Drosophila melanogaster: one gene and its partners. The protein of the gene in region 3 purifies or fractionates together with the protein of the main gene of each other region. This does not show direct contact. Each region holds a gene or a part of one and is shown on either strand. Other genes may lie near its edges.

The links.
Region 1: the proteins of Gp210 (region 3) and RpS10b purify together in Drosophila melanogaster (affinity purification with mass spectrometry, with the first as the bait; one large-scale study listed by BioGRID). This does not show direct contact.
Region 2: the proteins of Gp210 (region 3) and Gp93 purify together in Drosophila melanogaster (affinity purification with mass spectrometry, with the first as the bait; one large-scale study listed by BioGRID). This does not show direct contact.
Region 4: the proteins of Gp210 (region 3) and CCT8 purify together in Drosophila melanogaster (affinity purification with mass spectrometry, with the first as the bait; one large-scale study listed by BioGRID). This does not show direct contact.

The regions. Positions count from the first base shown.
Region 1 is NC_004354.4:19,596,139-19,600,359, reverse strand, and holds RpS10b (ribosomal protein S10b), read right to left. Parts: upstream 2,321-4,221; 5' UTR 2,283-2,320; exon of another isoform or gene 2,212-2,282; 5' UTR 2,155-2,211; intron 1,936-2,154; exon of another isoform or gene 1,928-1,935; 5' UTR 1,927-1,927; coding exon 1,444-1,926; 3' UTR 554-1,443; downstream 1-553.
Region 2 is NT_033777.3:27,946,740-27,952,702, forward strand, and holds Gp93 (glycoprotein 93), read left to right. Parts: upstream 1-1,971; 5' UTR 1,972-2,122; coding exon 2,123-2,162; intron 2,163-2,244; coding exon 2,245-2,334; intron 2,335-2,431; coding exon 2,432-2,514; intron 2,515-2,602; coding exon 2,603-3,855; intron 3,856-4,188; coding exon 4,189-5,086; 3' UTR 5,087-5,412; downstream 5,413-5,963. Other genes in the region: mfrn (mitoferrin), read right to left, coding at 455-571; CG4951 (uncharacterized protein), read right to left, coding at 5,502-5,675, 5,736-5,943.
Region 3 is NT_033778.4:5,759,234-5,763,915, reverse strand, and holds the start of Gp210 (glycoprotein 210 kDa), read right to left. Parts: upstream 3,055-4,682; 5' UTR 3,009-3,054; coding exon 2,854-3,008; intron 2,783-2,853; coding exon 1,723-2,782; intron 1,323-1,722; coding exon 1-1,322. Other genes in the region: CG7791 (uncharacterized protein), read left to right, coding at 3,604-3,738, 3,803-4,332, 4,386-4,682.
Region 4 is NT_033778.4:8,904,309-8,908,933, forward strand, and holds CCT8 (chaperonin containing TCP1 subunit 8), read right to left. Parts: upstream 2,683-4,625; 5' UTR 2,605-2,682; coding exon 2,545-2,604; intron 2,366-2,544; coding exon 1,335-2,365; intron 1,271-1,334; coding exon 721-1,270; 3' UTR 536-720; downstream 1-535. Other genes in the region: CG30349 (uncharacterized protein), read left to right, coding at 3,283-3,588, 3,642-4,171, 4,227-4,625.

The DNA of each region.
Region 1 (4,221 bases), on a different chromosome or scaffold from region 3:
CTAAACGAGTATTGCACATTGTAAATAATGAAACCACAATTATTTTGTATACAAAGCGATTTTTTTTTTATTGTTGCAAGCGAATACACTTTCCAGCGCAGTGCGCCCCAGTTGCGATGCGCAGAACGTTTTTGCGGGAAACATAGGTCCATAACCAGCTTCTTTTAACCATGTTAAGGCAATGATAGTCTCCAGGTATCTTCGGATTTATGCTAAATGGAGGAATGTACATAACCTTAACTACCCAAACCATGTTTCTACTCCGATGTGCCATGGCATAAACCTAGAATAATGCCATTCGTCGTATATTGTTGTAGTTCTTTTGGTCGGCCTAAATAAATAATCTAAGCGATTCGAATTCTTTATGGTCCGAGCATAGCAGCATACTTACTTGTTTACATAAAATATTAGTTGAAAGTAATCAACGTTAAATGGAGAAGCACATAAGCTTTTAAATAATATTAGTAGACACATAAGATTTAACTAAAACCTAACTTTGGGAAATGTGAAACTAGTGTATTTATAAAATTAGAATTAATATATAAGTAAAAGGCAGCTACAGAACAACAAAAGGATGCTCGTGAGCAAAAGAAGACTATTTAAGTAAACTAGTTATTTAACTAATTGTGAACGTTTAAGTAGCGTGAACAAATAAAACGAAATTGAGCATTTAAGTTACGTTCCTCCACATACGAAGATTTTGGCTTATCGTTTAGAAAATATACCATTTCCTTTGATGGTAAATCAAATTTAATCTATGTCCTTGCAATTCATGCCGTTTTTGTTATGAGCAATTGGATTCTAATGTTATTTAAATATTTGAATGTAGTATTTCGAGCCAACTGGTTTATTCCAACCCAAGTCTACTATGTTTTGGCACACAGCTATAAACGAATGCGATGAATTTCTGCACATATTTTTATAATAAAGAGCTACAAATCGACAAATATCCAAATCTATATACAACAATCTTTTGAAATTACCAAAATTGAATGCATGTATTGTATTCAAAAAAACGTATTTACGCTAGAATTCCTTCTTTCCTCTCGACAGAACCTCGCAAAATAAACTGAATTATCTGCAAAATCCTACTTCTAAAGTTATCTGAAGAGCTTCTTGCAAAAATGTGTTGGGTTAGCAGTTTCAGTTTGGCCGGGCATCGGGTTTACTATACTATTTAGCCACGCTTGGGATCTGAATCCACGTCCGATTTGCACACCACAATCACTGGACCAAACAACAAAAACAAAACAAAAAAAAAAAATAGAGGGGAGCACGGAATTTCACTTGCGTTTGCTTTATAATTGATCGTCATATCATAAAACACACACACATTTTTCAGATGTTGGTTTCTTCTATTGTTAAGGGTATGGATCTTCAGTTGAACATTTTACTGAGTAATTTTTTATACATTAGAAAAAAAAACTGAAGCGCCTGGGTTGTTTAGTTGCGCGATCCGCGTCCGAATCCGCCACGGAACTCGACCTCTCCGGCACCGGGTCCAACATCGCCCTTCTTGTCCACTCCGCTGCCGCCGGGAGCACGTCGGTAGGCGGAGCGATCCTCTCCGGTCTTGGAGGCGTCACCGGGTCCGCGTGGGCCGCCAACGGCGGGACGGGGACGGACGGTCTCCGAGCGGGCAGGGCGCTTCAGCGTCGAGGGCACGATCTCGGGCGGCAGGTGGAGGTAGCTGCGCAGCTCCTCGATTCCCTCGTTGGTGAGGTACCAGTAGTAGTGGCGCCAGGCGAACTGCTCCTTAACCAGTCCGCGCGAGTGGAGCGACTGCATCGCCTTGATCACGTGCAAGTTGGGGATCGACTCCAGTTCCGGGTGCTTCTGGGCATGGAAATCCTTCTTGGCCACGATCACGCCCTCCTTGAAGAGGTACTCGTAGATCGCGACACGATGGGCCTTTGGCATAAACATTCTGCACAAACAACAAAAAAAAAAAATAGCAATTAGATTCGGTTCATTGCCAGGATATATCTACAGATCATCCATGTGGTATCCAATTCACACATTGTTTATTGAGTCTGAAAGACTCGCTTCTTTGTCCACACAAAAAAAAAATGTACACATGCATTCGGGAACAACATTGGGCGCATATTTTCCCGGTGCGGCCGCTTGAAAATGGGGGTTTTCGGCGACAATTACCTGGATTGATTTGCAAACACAAAGTTACACGAACGCGAACGTATCGTAATACTCCCGCTGCAAGTAAAAAAGAGAATTGGAGGTATTTAATAGGGAGTTTTGCTTAAAAATTCGCGGAGCACACGCACTCACCGGAAACGTGAAGACGAAAAGAAAGGGAAACGGAAGGGATGACAAGAAGAAGACGGTGAGCAGTGTGGCCGGACCTTTCGATATGTGTCAGCAATCGATGACGCCGGCAATATATCGATATTATCTTAAGACATAATCCACGAGTAAATTTCGCGATTAAATCAAGTAACTACACTTGCGACACATTTTGACTTAGAATTTTTTGAATTACTTAAAACTGACCACCTTATATTCGTTCTCATAGCTTGTCTTGTATACTTGGGCATTCGATAGCGACAATGGTGCCGGACTTTTTAGTATCGATATCCTTATCGATAAGCCTTAGGCCAAGTATTAAGTTAATACACACACCGCATTTTGCACATGCATCTTATCGATACGTCTTTGTTGTCATAAAATCGCACTTATTTATTGCCAATAAGTATTAGTGATGGCACAGTTAAGCGTTTTTGTTTCGGTAATTCAAGTGTTTCATTTGTAATTATAAAAAAAATCACTCATTTTGTTTTATGAAAAAACAATTAAAATGGATCTTATTATATAAGCTTATTTATTTATTATTTATTTATTATTATTATTTAGTTATTTATTATTTCATTTATAAAACATTAATTTGAACTCAAAACAAAAAAAGTTTTACGACGAACCAGGTAAAACTTTCAATTTTGAGAGTCTCTCAGCAAAGGCCCTCCGCCCTCCCTTCTAGTCAACGAATGAGTAGCCATCTGTTCTCTGAGAATCTGTAGGTTTAACACTAAAGCTGTAAAACAATACAGCTCCCGGGATAGACAAACTTTAGGAATTAGCATTATTATGCAGCAGGATAATGGGCGCCACCGCCCAGACCCCAAGTTTCGACTGGGGCAGCCACAGGTTAGTGGATATCGGGGCGAAAAGTAATCTGTTAGTAGACGCGAAGGTTCTAACTTTTTCCCATCGAAAATTCCGAAGAGGATAAGAAGCAGCACACAGAAAATGTATTAATTAAAATAGAACCGTACAGTTAGGTTAAGCGCACAGTTGGGTTAAGTTAGGTTACACAGTGAGAAGTTCCTGATGAAGTGAACATATACAAATTTGAAATATATATGTACATAGTATATAAAATAATGCTGGATGAACCCTTCCTGACCTAAACCTACATCGGAAAAATTCAAAATCTCCGAACCGCCATTCTGCACTGAGAAAAATTAGGTTATATTTTTAAATCATATATTAGAAGGCTTTACCATAAGTTACCATAAGTTTATGGGATAATTTAAATAAATAATTTGGTTCTCCTCTAAAATATATTTAGCAACCTGTGTCGCATCCATTTAATGACAATTTTCTTGAATACCTTTTATAAAATTTTTCTTGAATTTACGGCAAAAACTAACACCTACTGCCTTATATTTCCTCATCTTACTTTAGTTTGCATTCATTTATTTACTTATTTAATTTATTACTTACCTATTATTACTTATAAATATTGCTATTAATTATTAGTTACCACCATGAATGCAATAAAAAAATGAATTTCTAAAAACTTAAATACTGAACTCGGCTGATGTTTCATCGGACATAGGGTACCAAAGGGGCCGCTAGAGCCATGCCTTTAATGAAAGTGGTCATAGATAGCATAGGGCAATCCGCGAACATAATTAAACCTGTGTTGCGCAGGCAACCAATTCTTAAGCTATTCCTCCTGTTCTAGAACTTCCTCCTCCTTTCGAAAATATTAATTTTCTTCCTCCGATTTTGTATACTAGCTCCTCTATTCCGTTGTTGAAAGCACGCTCAATTCTTGATTTTAATTATTAATGCCTGTAGGGAAAAGGTATTTGTACAAGCAAGACCGCCACACCATGAGCTAGAGCCGGACTTTAAAGCGTGCACCCGCAAGTACAGGTTTCTCCCTTGCCCTTGTCCATAAACTTATTTCGTTACACGTTA
Region 2 (5,963 bases), on a different chromosome or scaffold from region 3:
TATTGAATGCGTGGTGTACATATGTACATATTTACATATAACCATATACATATGTGTATATACTTGCGGCGAACGTCATTACGAGGTGGGCATTTGCATACGCTTAAGTGGCGGACTTGTGCACTTGGTTGGCCCTACCGAATTTTCAGAAGAACGATGAGAACGCTCCGCCGATAAGAGCTAGTCCAATTACTATGGCTAATCTTATCGCGGAAGCATAAACCAATGGAACGTGCTACGATAAGCGTTCAGAGCGGCTATATGTGGCTATACCACCCAGAGCTCTTAATGAGAAACGCAACTCTTGGTTGCACTCGAGACGTGGGCAATTACATCACGATTATGCCAAAGCAGCGGCGGCACACACAAAATTCCGATTGATAGTGAGGTTAGGTCGTGTTATGTTCATGCCGCTGCTCCTCCGATTACCAGGCGGCCATGCAGTCTCTCTCACCTTGACGGAGTCCAGCGGATACATGACCACATGCTCCAGCACGCCCGCAATTGCGCCCGCCGTCATATTGACACCCACACTGGTGGTGGGCAGCGATTCGTAGTCGTCGATGTTCATGGTGGATCCGAACGGTTGCCGTCGCTTTCGATTGTTGAGGCTGCTGGTGGGGCTGCACTATCGACTGTGTTGTGTGCTAATGCTGTGGTTGCGCCCTTGCAGTCGCTGCTCCTCTTACGACAACCTGCTAATCCGGACCAGTTCTGCCAAGTCGCTGTTGCAGTTGCTGCTGCAGAGCCGCTTTCTCCGCTGGGATCGGGTCGCTCCGCCTGTCGAGGATCGGCGTTGGTTAGCGGGCAACTCTTGGCCGGCGTATGTCGGGCACTTTTGGTGCAATTTTGTTGTATAACACGGATAACACGACGATTCACGGACGCACGGGCGGGTGTATTTCGGGGGGTGGTGCTGCTGGCGGAGGCGGCGGCGGTGGCGGTGGTGGTGCAGAGTGTACGCGTGAGGTGGTCTTATGCGAAACTGCTAATTGACACTGCTGTTGCACGACTAGCATACAGACGACATAGAGACGATTCCCCGATTCAACGATTCACGCGAGGAAGCAATTTCTGGTTTAGTTGCTCGCGGCTAAGCTGCTGCTGCTGGAGTGGCGGCTGCGGATCGGTTGTTTTATGAATATATAAGAGTCGGTTTGTGGCCGAAGCGGAATTTTGGCTGGGTCGGTGTTTGGCAACTGACGCAAATGTTGTATGATTACAGCGAATCATTAAATTTCGCCCAATAAACAAGCCTCGTGCCCAGAGTGACCGCAGCGGGAACGTCGCAAAATACCAAAATGGCTCGGGTGAAAATACCAGCACAAGTCCACCCACATGTGGGTGCGGAACCTTAACGCCATGGCAAATAAAAATACCAACATTAAAATATTTAACTTAACATTGTAAAATAAACCGAACGGTACAAAATCATATGTTATATATTCTAAAACGAAATGGATTTCCTTGATCTCTGTCAGGAATTTATATTTTATTTCAATTCATATTTTTATCATTACTTTGCTATATCAATAAGTTCTCAGTTATCTATTTTGGCAGCTTAAAAATTGTATATACACGAAGTTGTTGTGCAACCGACCGAAGAATTTATTATTTTAAAGCTTAGTTGTTGTATACATGAAAAGATACTAATTTGTTTCAAATATAAATCATATATCTACCGGCCTAAGTGTTCCCTTTTGTAAACTATTGATATAAGAATGTAAATTATCAAATTAAATATATTTAACAGTAGAGTTTTGACACTACATCCTCTTGTAAACTAAATCCCAAATAGATTCTATGAATGTATGGGCTTTCAAATAAGCAAACATTAAATTTATTTAAATTACACTATTTTCGTGCTCTGTGCTGTATATATATCCTATTTCCAGTGCAGCCCCTGGTATTTCCTTCCAATGCGCTTAGAATGTTCCAGCGCCGGAATACGGTCACTCTGCGAGGCATTTAAAGGCCTTCCAGCCGCTTGTCGGCGTCAGTAAAAAAAAATCAAAGCAGGCGACGCAAGTGCGGACTAATTTATTGCATCTGTTATTCGTGACGTGGCCTTTCGCCGGACGAACCGATAGCTCGAGCTCCGTAAATCAAGCTACCAAAGATCATGAAGTACTTTTTGCTGGTGGGCCTGCTGCTCCTAGCAGGTAAGTGTGCACATTTGCCACGCCGCATTGAACCGGTGTTTTAACCTAATTATTAATTGGCGTCTGATTCGCGTCTGATTAGGCATCAATCAAATAGCCGCCGATGACGAGGCCGCCACAACGGAGACCATCGACCTTGATCTGGGCTCCTTCAAGGAGGGCTCCCGCACCGGTACGTAGACACGCCCCCCTCTCGCGACGACGAGTTTTGTTTGGTACACGTCAGCGTTGCGATAACCGCCCCCTTTTTCTAATTCCCAATCCCCCAGATGCCGAGACCCTGAAGCGCGAGGAGGAGGCCATCCAGCTGGACGGCCTGAACGTGGCGCAGCTGAAGGAAATTCGCGAGAAGGTGGGTTCATTGCCAGGTCATTTGGAAGGTACACGTATGACCGGGATTTCCTTTCCCTTTTTTCTTTGTCTTTTGTCTGTGCGTGCAGGCGAAGAAGTTTACTTTCCAAACGGAGGTCAACCGCATGATGAAGCTGATTATCAACTCGCTTTACCGCAACAAGGAGATCTTCCTGCGTGAATTGATATCCAACGCCTCCGATGCCATCGACAAGATCCGCCTATTGGCTCTGTCCAACAGCAAGGAGCTGGAAACGAATCCGGAGCTGCACATCCGCATTAAGGCCGACAAGGAGAACAAGGCGTTGCACATCATGGACTCGGGTATCGGCATGACTCACCAGGATCTGATCAATAACCTGGGTACAATTGCCAAGTCCGGCACTGCCGATTTTCTGGCCAAGATGCAGGATCCCAGCAAGTCGGAGGGACTCGATATGAACGACATGATTGGACAGTTCGGTGTGGGCTTTTACTCCGCTTTCTTGGTCGCCGATCGTGTAGTGGTGACCACCAAGCACAACGACGACAAACAGTACATCTGGGAGTCGGATGCCAACAGCTTCAGCATCACCGAGGATCCCCGTGGCGATACTCTGAAGCGAGGATCCGTGATCTCGCTGTATCTGAAGGAAGAAGCCCAGGACTTCCTGGAGGAGGACACCGTGCGCGAGCTCATCCGCAAGTACTCGCAGTTCATCAACTTCCCCATCCGCATGTGGTCCAGCAAGACCGTCGAGGAGGAGGTGCCCGTGGAGGAGGAGGCCAAGCCCGAGAAGAGCGAGGATGACGTGGAGGATGAGGACGCCAAGGTCGAGGAGGCCGAAGATGAGAAGCCCAAGACCAAAAAGGTTTCGAAGACCACCTGGGACTGGACCCTGATCAACGACAGCAAGCCCATCTGGACGCGCAAGCCCGCCGAAGTGACCGAGGATGAGTACACTAGCTTCTACAAGAGCCTGACCAAGGACTCCAGCGAGCCCCTGACCCAGACGCACTTCATCGCCGAGGGCGAGGTGACCTTCAAGAGTTTGCTCTACGTGCCCAAGGTGCAGCCATCGGAGTCCTTCAACCGCTACGGCACCAAGTCCGACAACATTAAGCTGTACGTGCGCCGTGTTTTCATCACCGACGAGTTCAACGACATGATGCCCAACTACCTGAGCTTCATTCGTGGCGTCGTCGACTCCGACGATCTGCCCCTGAACGTTTCCCGCGAAACTCTGCAGCAGCACAAGCTCATCAAGGTGATCAAGAAGAAGCTGGTCCGCAAGGTTCTCGATATGCTGAAGAAGATCGACAAGGAGGCGTATGAGAAGTTCTGGAAGGAGTTCTCCACCAAGTAAGTGTCGCTTTCTAGGAATTAAGAAACGTTCTTTGCCTGTTCAAATAATTAGTTATTTATGATAAGCATTTCCGCAGAATCCATTATAATATGGAGAATAGAATGACGTGTATTATTTTTTGCCAACAAATTAATATATTTAGTTTGTTGCTTTAAAGAATTCCGCGCTGATAAGATAAGGAAATCCACGTAGTATTATAATATTGGCACTGGTGACGTGTAGAGTTTATACTTAAATATTTTATTTTAGTTAAATAAGCATTTCCATTAGCTATAACCTCGAATTCTTGGATTTTCGTTGCTTATCAAGACTTAATTGACTCATTTCAGCATCAAATTGGGCGTGATGGAGGATCCCAGCAACCGATCGCGTCTCGCCAAGCTGCTCCGCTTCCAGACCTCCAACGGCAAGGGCGTCACCTCGCTGGCGGAGTACAAGGAGCGCATGAAGGCCAAGCAGGAGCACATCTACTACATCGCTGGTGCCAACCGCGCTGAGGTCGAGAAGTCGCCGTTCGTCGAGCGTCTGCTGAGCAAGGGATACGAGGTGCTGTATCTGGTGGAGGCCGTCGACGAGTACTGCATCTCCGCGCTGCCCGAGTTCGATGGCAAGAAGTTCCAGAACGTGGCCAAGGAGGGATTCCAGCTGAACGAGTCCGAGAAGAGCAAGAAGAACTTCGAGTCGCTAAAGAGCACCTTCGAGCCGCTGGTCAAGTGGCTGAACGATGTGGCACTCAAGGATCAGATCTCCAAGGCCCAGGTTTCCGAGCGTCTGAGCAACTCGCCATGCGCCCTCGTGGCCGGCGTCTTCGGCTGGACCGGCAACATGGAGCGTCTGGCCATGTCCAACGCCCACCAGAAGTCCGACGATCCTCAGCGCACCTACTACCTCAACCAGAAGAAAACGCTCGAGATCAATCCCAGGCATCCGCTGATGCGCGAGCTGCTGCGCCGCGTGGAGGCCGACGAGGCCGATGACACCGCCAAGGACATGGCTGTGATGATGTTCCGCACCGCCACCCTGCGGTCTGGATACATGCTCCAGGAGACTTCGCAGTTCGCCGACAGTATTGAGCAGATGATGCGCCAGACCTTGGGTGTCTCCCAAGACGAGCAGGTGGAGTTCGACGAGGAGGAGGAGGATGATGCCGAGGAGACCGCCACCGGCAGCCAGGAGAGCGGCAACGCCGATGATGAGGAGGAGGAGCAGCAGCACGACGAGCTGTAAACTACTTCACCTCACCCACTGTCCAAATAGATTGTACATAAGAGTGTGAAGTTCAGACTGAGTTTTAAACCGCCACCGGGTGGCCGGGCGGGCACTCCATCAACATTACACGCTAGATTCTAAGTAAAATAATTTCGTAGTCCTTCGCCCACGCCGTCATCACCGCCAGTCGCCCAGAGAGCACTCCACCATTTCAGCCAGCACACTTGGTTGCTCAAGCGTTTTCTTTTTTCGAAAGCAAGTGAATTATGTATTTATACAATGTAATATGCTTAGTACACAACAGATTCCAATCAAAACAAATAAAGACAAATGAATTTAAAACTAAAACAACTGCCTATTTAATATGGCGCGCAATGTAAAATTTCCGCAATCGGATACCAAAAAATAGTTAAAAAGTGAATTGATTGCTCGATCAGTCAAGATCGGAACTCAGCGGCTCATCGTTCAGGGCCCTCAAGTAGGTGTTGTACTTCATCTGGTCGCGGATCTGCTGCACGGCCTCCGATTGGGACAGCGTGTATGTGTCCATAAAGAGGCGCACTATCCACAGCGGGAGCAGTCCGTTCACCAGCAGCGACGTGTGGTTCTGGTAATCGGGACATGTTAGGATGGATATGTGTGTCACTCCAGGACGCCCCAAACTTACGCTTCGACTGCTGTAGACCTCGCCCAGTTTCTTGAGCATCTGCTGGTGAATGCTCTTGCTCAGTATGTCGATGACGTCCATGTGGGCAATGTTCATGTAGTGACTGGTGCGCGGCTTGAACTCGCGCTCCTTGAACAGCTTATCGAAGTCGCTGCGATAGTTTTCGAACGTATTCAGCACCTCGTCCTCGCCCATTTTTTCCAAGAGTCTGAGCCAATCAAAAGAACG
Region 3 (4,682 bases):
GCAAGTAGCTTGTCGTTATACTGGGACACCGTTCCCTTAATGCGGAAGTTGGTCGCCACTTCACTCAATGTCAAGACAAGAAGGTCGCGACTCGGCAGGGTAACTCCATGATTGAACTCCAATTCAGAAATCTGACGGTGCGGGATAATGTTCTTCTGGTATCGCTCTTCACCAGCGGAAAACTCCCAGTCAAGCCCTAGTGAGCTGATATTCATGAGCCTACGATTATTTGAATCGTGTACCTCGATTTCAATTTCAATTTTATTCTCTGGATCTTTCAGGAATAATAACGAGGTGCGCTTCTCCAGGGGGCAGGAGTCACGCAGGTTATGGCGAGCGTAGAGCTTTAGGAAGCGAGGACGGACGCAATGCACCTTTGTGGTCACCTCCGATTGATATAAGGCAAAGCTTGAGGTGGGAAGGCTATTATGCACTCGGTAAGTGAACTGCGTCTCGCCCAGCTCACGACACAGCACGGTGAACGCAGTTATCAAATTTTGCGTGTCGAACTCTAATTTAGACACTTTTAATATTTTTTCATCAAAAGCGGTAGATTGTATGATTTCTGCTGCCACCGTAAAACTGCGCTGCGGCCCATTAGCATAAATTATATTACGGGATGACCCAACGGGAAGAACAACCTCGTTTTCTATTGGATTTAGCACGACTAATGGCTCAAAGACATACAAATCAATAATGTCGTAAAGCACTTTGTCCATATACATATAGGAAACGCGTAGCGAGGTGGTGCCCACAGCGGTGGCCCGCAACCGAAGCACATGACACGCCTCGTGAGCAGCCTCCGCCCCTTCATTACCCTCCAACTGCAGAATGGGCTGGCTGAAGTCTAGTTGGAAGTGAAGATTATCACAACTTGTGTAGGGAACCTCTGAATTATTTATTCGAGCGTATACGCCCACATGCACGTGTACGAAGTCCTTCAGGGCGGTCTCAAAGTTGCTCCGCGTGATCTGAAGGCGCTCAGGGGGGAGAAAGTAGATATGTGCCACACGGGAAATTTTCTGGTTCTTGGATAGAGCCACCTTGACGGTGGTGTGGGCGGTCAGTTTACCACCATCTTTCAGTACCTCCTGGTTCACGTAAGCGGATTTCACGTCGCGGATTTCAGTTGTGGCTTGGCCCTGGGTGTCAATCTGGATCACCTGTGGATTTCCGGAGAACCAAGCGTAGTTGTTATCTCCGCCAGATGCATGAAACTGCAGCTTTAAAGGTTTTAAGCTGTTAGGATCGTATGGCAACACCACCTTGGTTGGCGCTAACTGAAGCTCCTCAAATATCTGAAGCTCAGCTTGTACCGACAGCTGCAACATAAATAACAATATTATAAGAACTTTTAATATAACAAATAGACTTTTGGACTATTATTTTGAGTTAACCTTCTATAAAAAATGCAAACAATTTAAAATTCTACATATCACTGCGGTTGACTTTATAAAAATAGATATTTATTTGACTTATTTAATATTTTATTTACTTCGTTATAAAAGAGGTGGGCAAACGAAATGAATTATTTTTAGCGGTCGGCAAGCAATAAAAACAAATTTTAATTAATGGCTTTTTTTTTGTTAGATAATATTTAGTTTTTAGAAGTGGACAAACGCCTAATTATATGATAATACCGCGATTCTTTTTAATGGGTTATATCTATGCACATATTTTCTAGAGTAATATATATAACAAACATTTTAGTTATAAACTTACGTCTTTATATGAGCCATACACCTGAGTGATTCCCTCTTTTTTTGCTTGACCGAAAAGGCGGCTTCCGTTGCGAGTACGATCAACAATGGCGAAAAAGGATTCATCCACCTCTGAGTTGATTGAATATTTAGTGCCCATTGTGATCTTCTGACCGTCGGCAGCAAAAAGATCCAATGCTATAGCGTGATGCTCGCCTTGTACTGTCACCCAATTGAGATGGGGCAACAGACTGATGGACAACCTATTCGGATATGCCACAGTCAATAGAGCGCTGGGTCCCTTTTGGACCTCATCAGAGTCCGCCATGTTGCGGTCTCGCAGAAAGACCTGGGTGCGACCCAGAGCCGCTCCGGTGGCACTGTTTCCACGAAGGTATGCAATGCTGGAGTCCTCCACCTCCAAATAATACTGATTGTTGTCTATAACGTGCAGTCGGTCCATCTTCAGCTGCAGAATGCGAAATGAGACGGAGTCTCCAGCCATTATGGTGACTTCGGAAGGCTCAATTATAATGTTTGCAAGAACGCTGATGTACACCTCAACTGGCCGCACATGCTTGTACTCGGCCTGAGGCATGGCGATGGTCACCTTGGCGGTGCCAGTATTAATGCCCTCAAGGAGGATCATGTGCCCCTTCTTGCCGTCGGCTTCAAACTTTTCAATGGTGGGCGGTACAGTGTGGTACGGACTGTCCGTGAACGTGAGGTATCGCATTGCGGTGGGCCTTTTGCTACCGGGTTCCAAAATCTCCCAGTCAAACTCGATTCCCTCCAAGGTAAAAAACTCGTTGCCTTGTTCATCAAAGGCGTGCAGCTCGAACATGGCGGGCGCCTCCTCCAGGTAAAGTTGTCGAGTGGCGGTGCGCACATTTAGACTAGCAATGACATCCACAATCACGTCGGAACGCAGCGTCTCGCCCGTTTGTACTTCCTCGGCGAAGACGATTGCAGTGTTCCTCCGACGATCGTGAGTGCGGACTGTCACCACCGCCTGGTATGCACATTCGCTGAAGCCCTTGTAAATGGGCATGACAGATATCAAGTCCTGGCGTGAGGACGACCTGCAAGTTCAGCATAGTAGTAGTAGTAGTTCTAGAAGTTATAAAATTATATCTGTATGACGCCGATTTACCATTTGTAGCAGTTCGGCTCGTCGACTTCCAGGGTAAAGTTTATTGCCTTGTCTTCGAATATTGGTAGTAACACACGCGGGTGGTTCAACCTAGCTGCCTCAGAAGCATGATTTCTTACCAAAATCAGCAAAATCATGCAAAGAATAGAATCCATCGTGCCGGCAAACGAGCCACGCGCGGAACGAGATGCTGGATAGGGATGGACAAGAATGACAATATCGCAAATATCAACTATCGATAAATTATATTATACGGGTTTCAAAAATACCAATATATCACTTATTATATGTGATGTAAATCATAATCAGTTGTATATCTGTACCTCAAGTTAAACGAAGACTTACATATTACGTATAACAGCTTTTTTTATAATTATATTTATTTACAAATAAAATTGGGTTTTTGCTTGTAAATATTTATCAAATAACATCATTTTCGGGATACCCTGCAACTCAGTCTTAATAGGAATATTATTCTTTTTGTATTCCTAAAATAGGACTCGCTTAAGCTTAATTAACATTTATTTTTCTGTAATATCTAAACTAATCCTAGTTAAACTGGTGACAGCTTTAGAAAAATACTGTTAACACAACTCAACTCTATACAGCTGCACATGCAGTTAATTGATGTCTGTAATCGAAAAGCAAAACGTCTGGCAACATCGGGTTGACTTCACCGGCAGCTGACTTCTCATGTAACCATTTCGTTATAAACAAGCAATTTAAGTGATCCGAAATTGGGGAAGTGCCATGCTAGAATTTGGTCGAACATTGCTGCGCTGGAGAACGCGGCACTGCAGTCGCAGAGTCTCTACGTGGACGCCGCTGGCTACGGCGTTTAATGCGCCACCGGCTAGGCGGATCAACTTCACCCACGACGATGTTGTAAGACCCAAAGTCTGTAAAACGCAGGACCTCTGACTAGGCATACATGGCCTTTTTCCCGTAGGGCCTCTTTGGCATGCCCGAACTGCGGAGTTTTGAGGGCTTCTATCTCCTTCGAGACAATGTGGAAAGCCGGACGCAGGAGCTGATCTCCGAGGCCACCTCCGATCAACGACGTCGAAAGATGGTCGACATTTTTGACGAGCTTTCTGACTCATTGTGCAAGGTGGCGGACCTCGCAGAGTTTGTTCGTATCGCGCATCCTCAGAGCAGATACACCCAAGCAGCAGAGCAGGCCTGCATAAGCATTTGCGGAATGGTCGAGAGCCTTAACACGCATAAGCCCATCTATAAGGCTTTAAGCCACGTAGTGGATCATGGAGATAAGCTGCCCACCAGCGAAGTGGACAGACATGTGTCGCGTTTGTTCCTTTTCGACTTTGAGCAGTGTGGAATTCACTTGCCCGAGGAGGAACGTATGCGTGTTGTGCGGCTAAATGACTATATTCTTCAGCTCGGCCAGAAGTTCATGAGTGGAGCTGTGCAACCTAGTGTTCTTCCACGCAGCCAAGTCCCTGAGTCCTTTCGTAACTAGTAAGTTCACATATAACACTATCTGGGCTATACTAAAGATTTTTTTTTGTCAGCTTTCCTACCTCTGGGGAAAATGTAATTATCACTGGACTGTGCACAAACGCAGAGAACGTTCAGATGCGGGAGGCTGCCTACCGGTTGTACCTGCAGCCGTCAAAGAGCCAGGAGGATCTTCTCCGAGACCTACTGCTTTGCCGGCATGAACTGGCGCGTAGCTGTGGCTTCGATACATATGCACACCGGGCACTCAAAGGTAGCACGATGGAGAAACCCGAAGTGGTACGAGAGTTTATCGACGAGCTGTCGGAAAAGCTGCGACCGCGCGCAGATTGCGATTTCGCCCTGATGTC
Region 4 (4,625 bases), 3.1 Mb from region 3:
CTTAAACATTCCGCATTCAACAGTTTTCGATCCAACGGACACTTTGCATCCAAACTTTTTAGTTATCCCTGAATGTTATTAGCCCGAGGACAGCCGAACCACCCAATGGAGCACGGATGGTTTGGTTTCGTCCTCAGATGTGTCATTTTCTATAACTTATCCATAGAGGGTAAATCGCATTTGGAAAGGAAGGGCATTAGATGCACACGTACTCAAAATCAATCATGGTCATCGAATACACTTTAACACCTTTCACTTCAAATGAAAAGCGACAACGAGATCGTATTTTATTCGAAAATTAATACAACTCTTTTGCGATGCAAACGGGGACGAGTCCTCACAAATATTATTGAAATGTATCTGCGAATAAGCATTTGAAATATTGTACTCAACAAAATGAATAATCGTTTGCTTAAATTTCAAAAATAAAAAGCGATAACTTACTTAGATTCGTTATCTAGCGGTGGCACCGGGTTCGGTGCGAAAACCACGTTGTTTTATTTCAAAGGCCCCCGAAGGATCACGCGTTTCAGTTCAGTTTTCGTAAGTTAAGTTTATTAATACAAGAAACTGTGTGCATGGCTGTGTATGTGGGTGAGTGTGAGAGTGGTTAATGAAATTTATAATTTCCATGGGACTCGTTTATGAAAATACAATGCACTCTTTGTGGGAGCGGGAGAAACTAGTTATAGTAGGGAGTACGAATCACAGAGGAGCCGCTTAACTCTCGTCATCGCTGCCGGCAGCCTGTCGCACCTTGGGACCTCCGGCGCGCTTGGCCATGATGATCTGGTCCACCTTCAAGATGGTTGCGGCCGCGCCAACAGCGTACTTGAGACCCCAGAACTTGGACTGGTACAGATCGAAGAGCTTTGCCTTCGTTGTGTCGATGGTGCTGGCCTTCTCGGCCTCAATGTCGAAGCCGATTGTCTTTCCGGCCTCGTTGTTGTGGGCCAAATACAACTGGTTGACGATTTCCGTGCCATTGATGCCGGAGTTCTCGGCCAGAGCCTTGGGGAAAACTTCCAGCGCATTAGCGAACTTGCGCACGGCGTACTGGTCCAGACCAGGCAGAGTATCAGCATAGGCGGACAGCTGGGTGGCCAACTCGATCTCGGTGGCGCCAGCTCCGGGCAGATAGCGGCCATCCCGGGTCAGGCACTTGAAGTTGTTAATAGCGTCATCCAGGGCACGCTCAATGTCATCCATGAAGTTGTCGGTAGCTCCACGGATCACCACGGTGGCAATGCGCGAGTCCTTGCCCTCGTTCCTGCAATGATTCAATAAGAAATTATAATGGTATTTTCTCTCGCTAATTCCATTGAAAATCCCACCTGAAGGCCACAATTGTGGTGTCTCCCAGTTCCTCGATGCAAACTTTGTCGCAGTAGCCCAACTCCTCCTGACTGGGCGTGGTGATGCGCGGCAGGACAGTGGCGTTTACGGATCGGCTCAGGCGACGCAGGTCGAACTTAGAGTTGAGACGCACGGCCATCAGACCGTATTTGTTAAGGAAGTGCAGAGCCATGTCGCCAACCTTGCCGCCGGCCACAACCACCTTGACACCTGCGTCGGCGATAGCCTTGATCTGGCTCTCCAACAGGCTCTCTTCGCCGGAGGAAAAGCTCAATAGCTCGTCGGCCGACTTGATCAGCACTGTGCCCTTGGTCTCAGTTTGGATAATATCGACGGGGCAGGAGAAAATCACGATCTTGGCCTTCTCTGCATAGGTCACATCGCCTTCTACGAAGCGCTTGAAGACCATGCCGCGAACCACCTCAGACTTGGTCAGTCCGCTGCCCAAGATCTTACAGATGCGAATGTTGTCCACGTTGAAGGTGCCCTCATCCGGCAAGATGGAGACGCAGGCCTTGCTCACCAAATCGTTGAGGAAGTCCTCCTGGCCGTACTGCTTCGACATGATCGATGTGCGGAGTACCTCCTTGACCTTCTCCACATTGCGATAGTCCTCGATCTTGTGGCTCACCAGATTGGGCAGAATCTCCAGAGCCTTCTCCAAGGCCTTTTCATAGCCGTCGGAGATCTCGGCAGTGGTGATTCCTAGACGCAGCAGCTCCTCAGCGGACTCCAACAGAGCTCCGGCCAGCACCACCACGAAGTTTGTACCATCGCCCACCTCGGCATCCTGCATCTGGCTGGCCATGACGATCAACTTGGCGGCTGGATGCTCAACATCCAGCTCCCGCATGATGGTGCCGGCATCGCTGGTCACGAACTGCTTCTCGATGTGATTGATGATCATCTTGTTCATGCCATTTGGCCCATAGGCAGAGCGCATGGTCTGTGCAAACTCCTTGCAGGCGCTGATGTTGCGGAACACCGCCTCCTCCAGCCCACTGTACATCTGAGGACACAAGTAAAGCCATTAAATTAGTCATTTTTCTTTCATATGTCGAGCCCCGTTCCATGAGGATGACTAATCACGCGCCTCCGCAAGACGGCATGTTTTCTTTTAAGCCGAATCTCAATGAAACCGATGCCCGGCGGACTCCTCGCAGAGTTATTCCTCCTTGTTGCACTTACCCGGGCGCCATCCTTCAGCATCTGCGACACACCGGGAGCCTTGGGAACGGATAAAGCCATTTTTTAACACAGATTTCAATTTCACACGGAGTCAGTCGGTAAATTCCAGCTATAGTTATAACCTCAAAGTGGCCGCGAACATTCTGGATGGGATAGCGATGGCACTTGCCTATCGATTATCGTAAACGGTGACTGGCGCTATTTTATTTTTATTTTACATTTGAATTGATCTTTTTCAATAAGGTAACGATTCTCAATGGTTTATGATGAATAGCATGCAATTAACAATATAGTTCAGCAGTGGAGTTTACGCCCCAAAGAATCCTGTAAATCGAGTTTATTTCTTGGTCTTTGAACGCATTTACTTAAATAATCCAGGATAATGTATATAAGTTACTCCAAATAAGTAATATTTACAGTTGCAAAAGAATTTACTCATTTTAAGTTTTGAGGAAATTTTAAAACAATTAGAGTAAAATATTTTATTATTTAATTTAAAAACTGAAAAGTTTATTTAAAAAATTCACATTCCCATTGGTTTATTATATTGTTCACTCGATGAATTTTGTTTGCATATAATTTGATAAATCTTTCAAGGGTATAGGAAACGTCGGTAAATGCAATTCAATCGTGAGTCGTGCGTGACATTTGCGTGATAGATTGCATTAAGTGCGACGAGTGTGAGCCGATGTAAACACTAGCCTTAGCGCCCATCTCTAATTCAAAACATAAAAAACGATGTCGCTGGGCAAGAAGCACGTGTTGGGATTTTCGCCCAATGGTGGCCAACTATTTGCCTCGGTGGACGAGTCGGGAGTTCTGCGGATATGGAACACAGAGACGAACACGCTGTATCAGGAGTTTACGCCCAATCTACAGTTATCCGGGTCGTGCACAGCTCTCACGTGGGTTTTGGTGGCCGGTTCCCGGCCCAAGAAGTCGCGGAAGAGCCTCCAGGCACAGGATGCAGCCGGTGATCAGCTTCACATTGCTCTGGGAACGTACAAGGGCTCAGTGGTTATATACTCATTAGCCGAGGGAAAGGTGAGTCGGACAAAGAGCCTTGAAGGCGAATAAACCACAAGCAATCCTTGCAGATTTCTCGAACGCTCAGTGGCGACAGCCATGATGGACCAGTGACCTCAATTACAAATGACAACGCTGGCCACCTATACACTGTGGGTGCCGATTGTAGGGTTGTTGTTTGGTCCTTGACGGACGAGCGCTCCATCGCCGAATGGCAAGTGGGACCCGAGAAGCCCCAAAATATAGTCTACCTTCAGAAAAGTGGCACCTTGGCCATTGGCTACCGACAGCTGAAGGTGTACGATATCAAGACAAAGGAGCTGGTGGAAACGTTCACCGGCCACTCGGGCGAAATAAACACAATCAGCAGCGTGGCGAGCACAGATGGCACTGAATTCGTTTTGACCACCGCGAAGATGGAGCGCGTAATCTGCTTCTGGAAGATCGACAAGAAGGGCAAGAACAAAGCCTCCGCCTGCACGCTCCTCATGGAGGACTTGGCCTACTGTCTAACCAGCGAAGTGCGCGACGATGGTCAGCTACGTGTGGCCAGTGTTACCCGCAATGGCATCATACACATTTACCTGTTGAATGTGAACAGGTGGGTCATGTGAATACACGTTTTGTCACTCGTACTGAAGTACTATGTTTCACAGTTTATCCGCAGAGAAGTTTGTGAAGCCCAAGGTTTCGCTGCAGATCGTTTCCGATGGCGCCGAAACAGTGGAACCACTTCTAGCCGTGGCGGCCCACTTTGTGACAGACTCAAATCGCTCCCACGAAATCCTCTTTGGCTACGGAAGTCGCCAACAGCTGCAGTTTGAACGTTTTACGCCCAACTATGGCGAGAAACTAAACGTTATTGTGCGCGCCGATCCCAAAAAGCTCTATGCGAAAAAGAAGGGAAAGGAGCAGCCGGGCTACCAGGCCGCCACCAAGGTCCAGAAGCCCATTGTAAACCAAAAAAATGTGGAGTACAACAGCGCCCTGCCCATCTCGCAGAAGAAAGTGCAAAACGAAGTGCCCATGGAAGCCCGACTAGAACATCTTAAAAT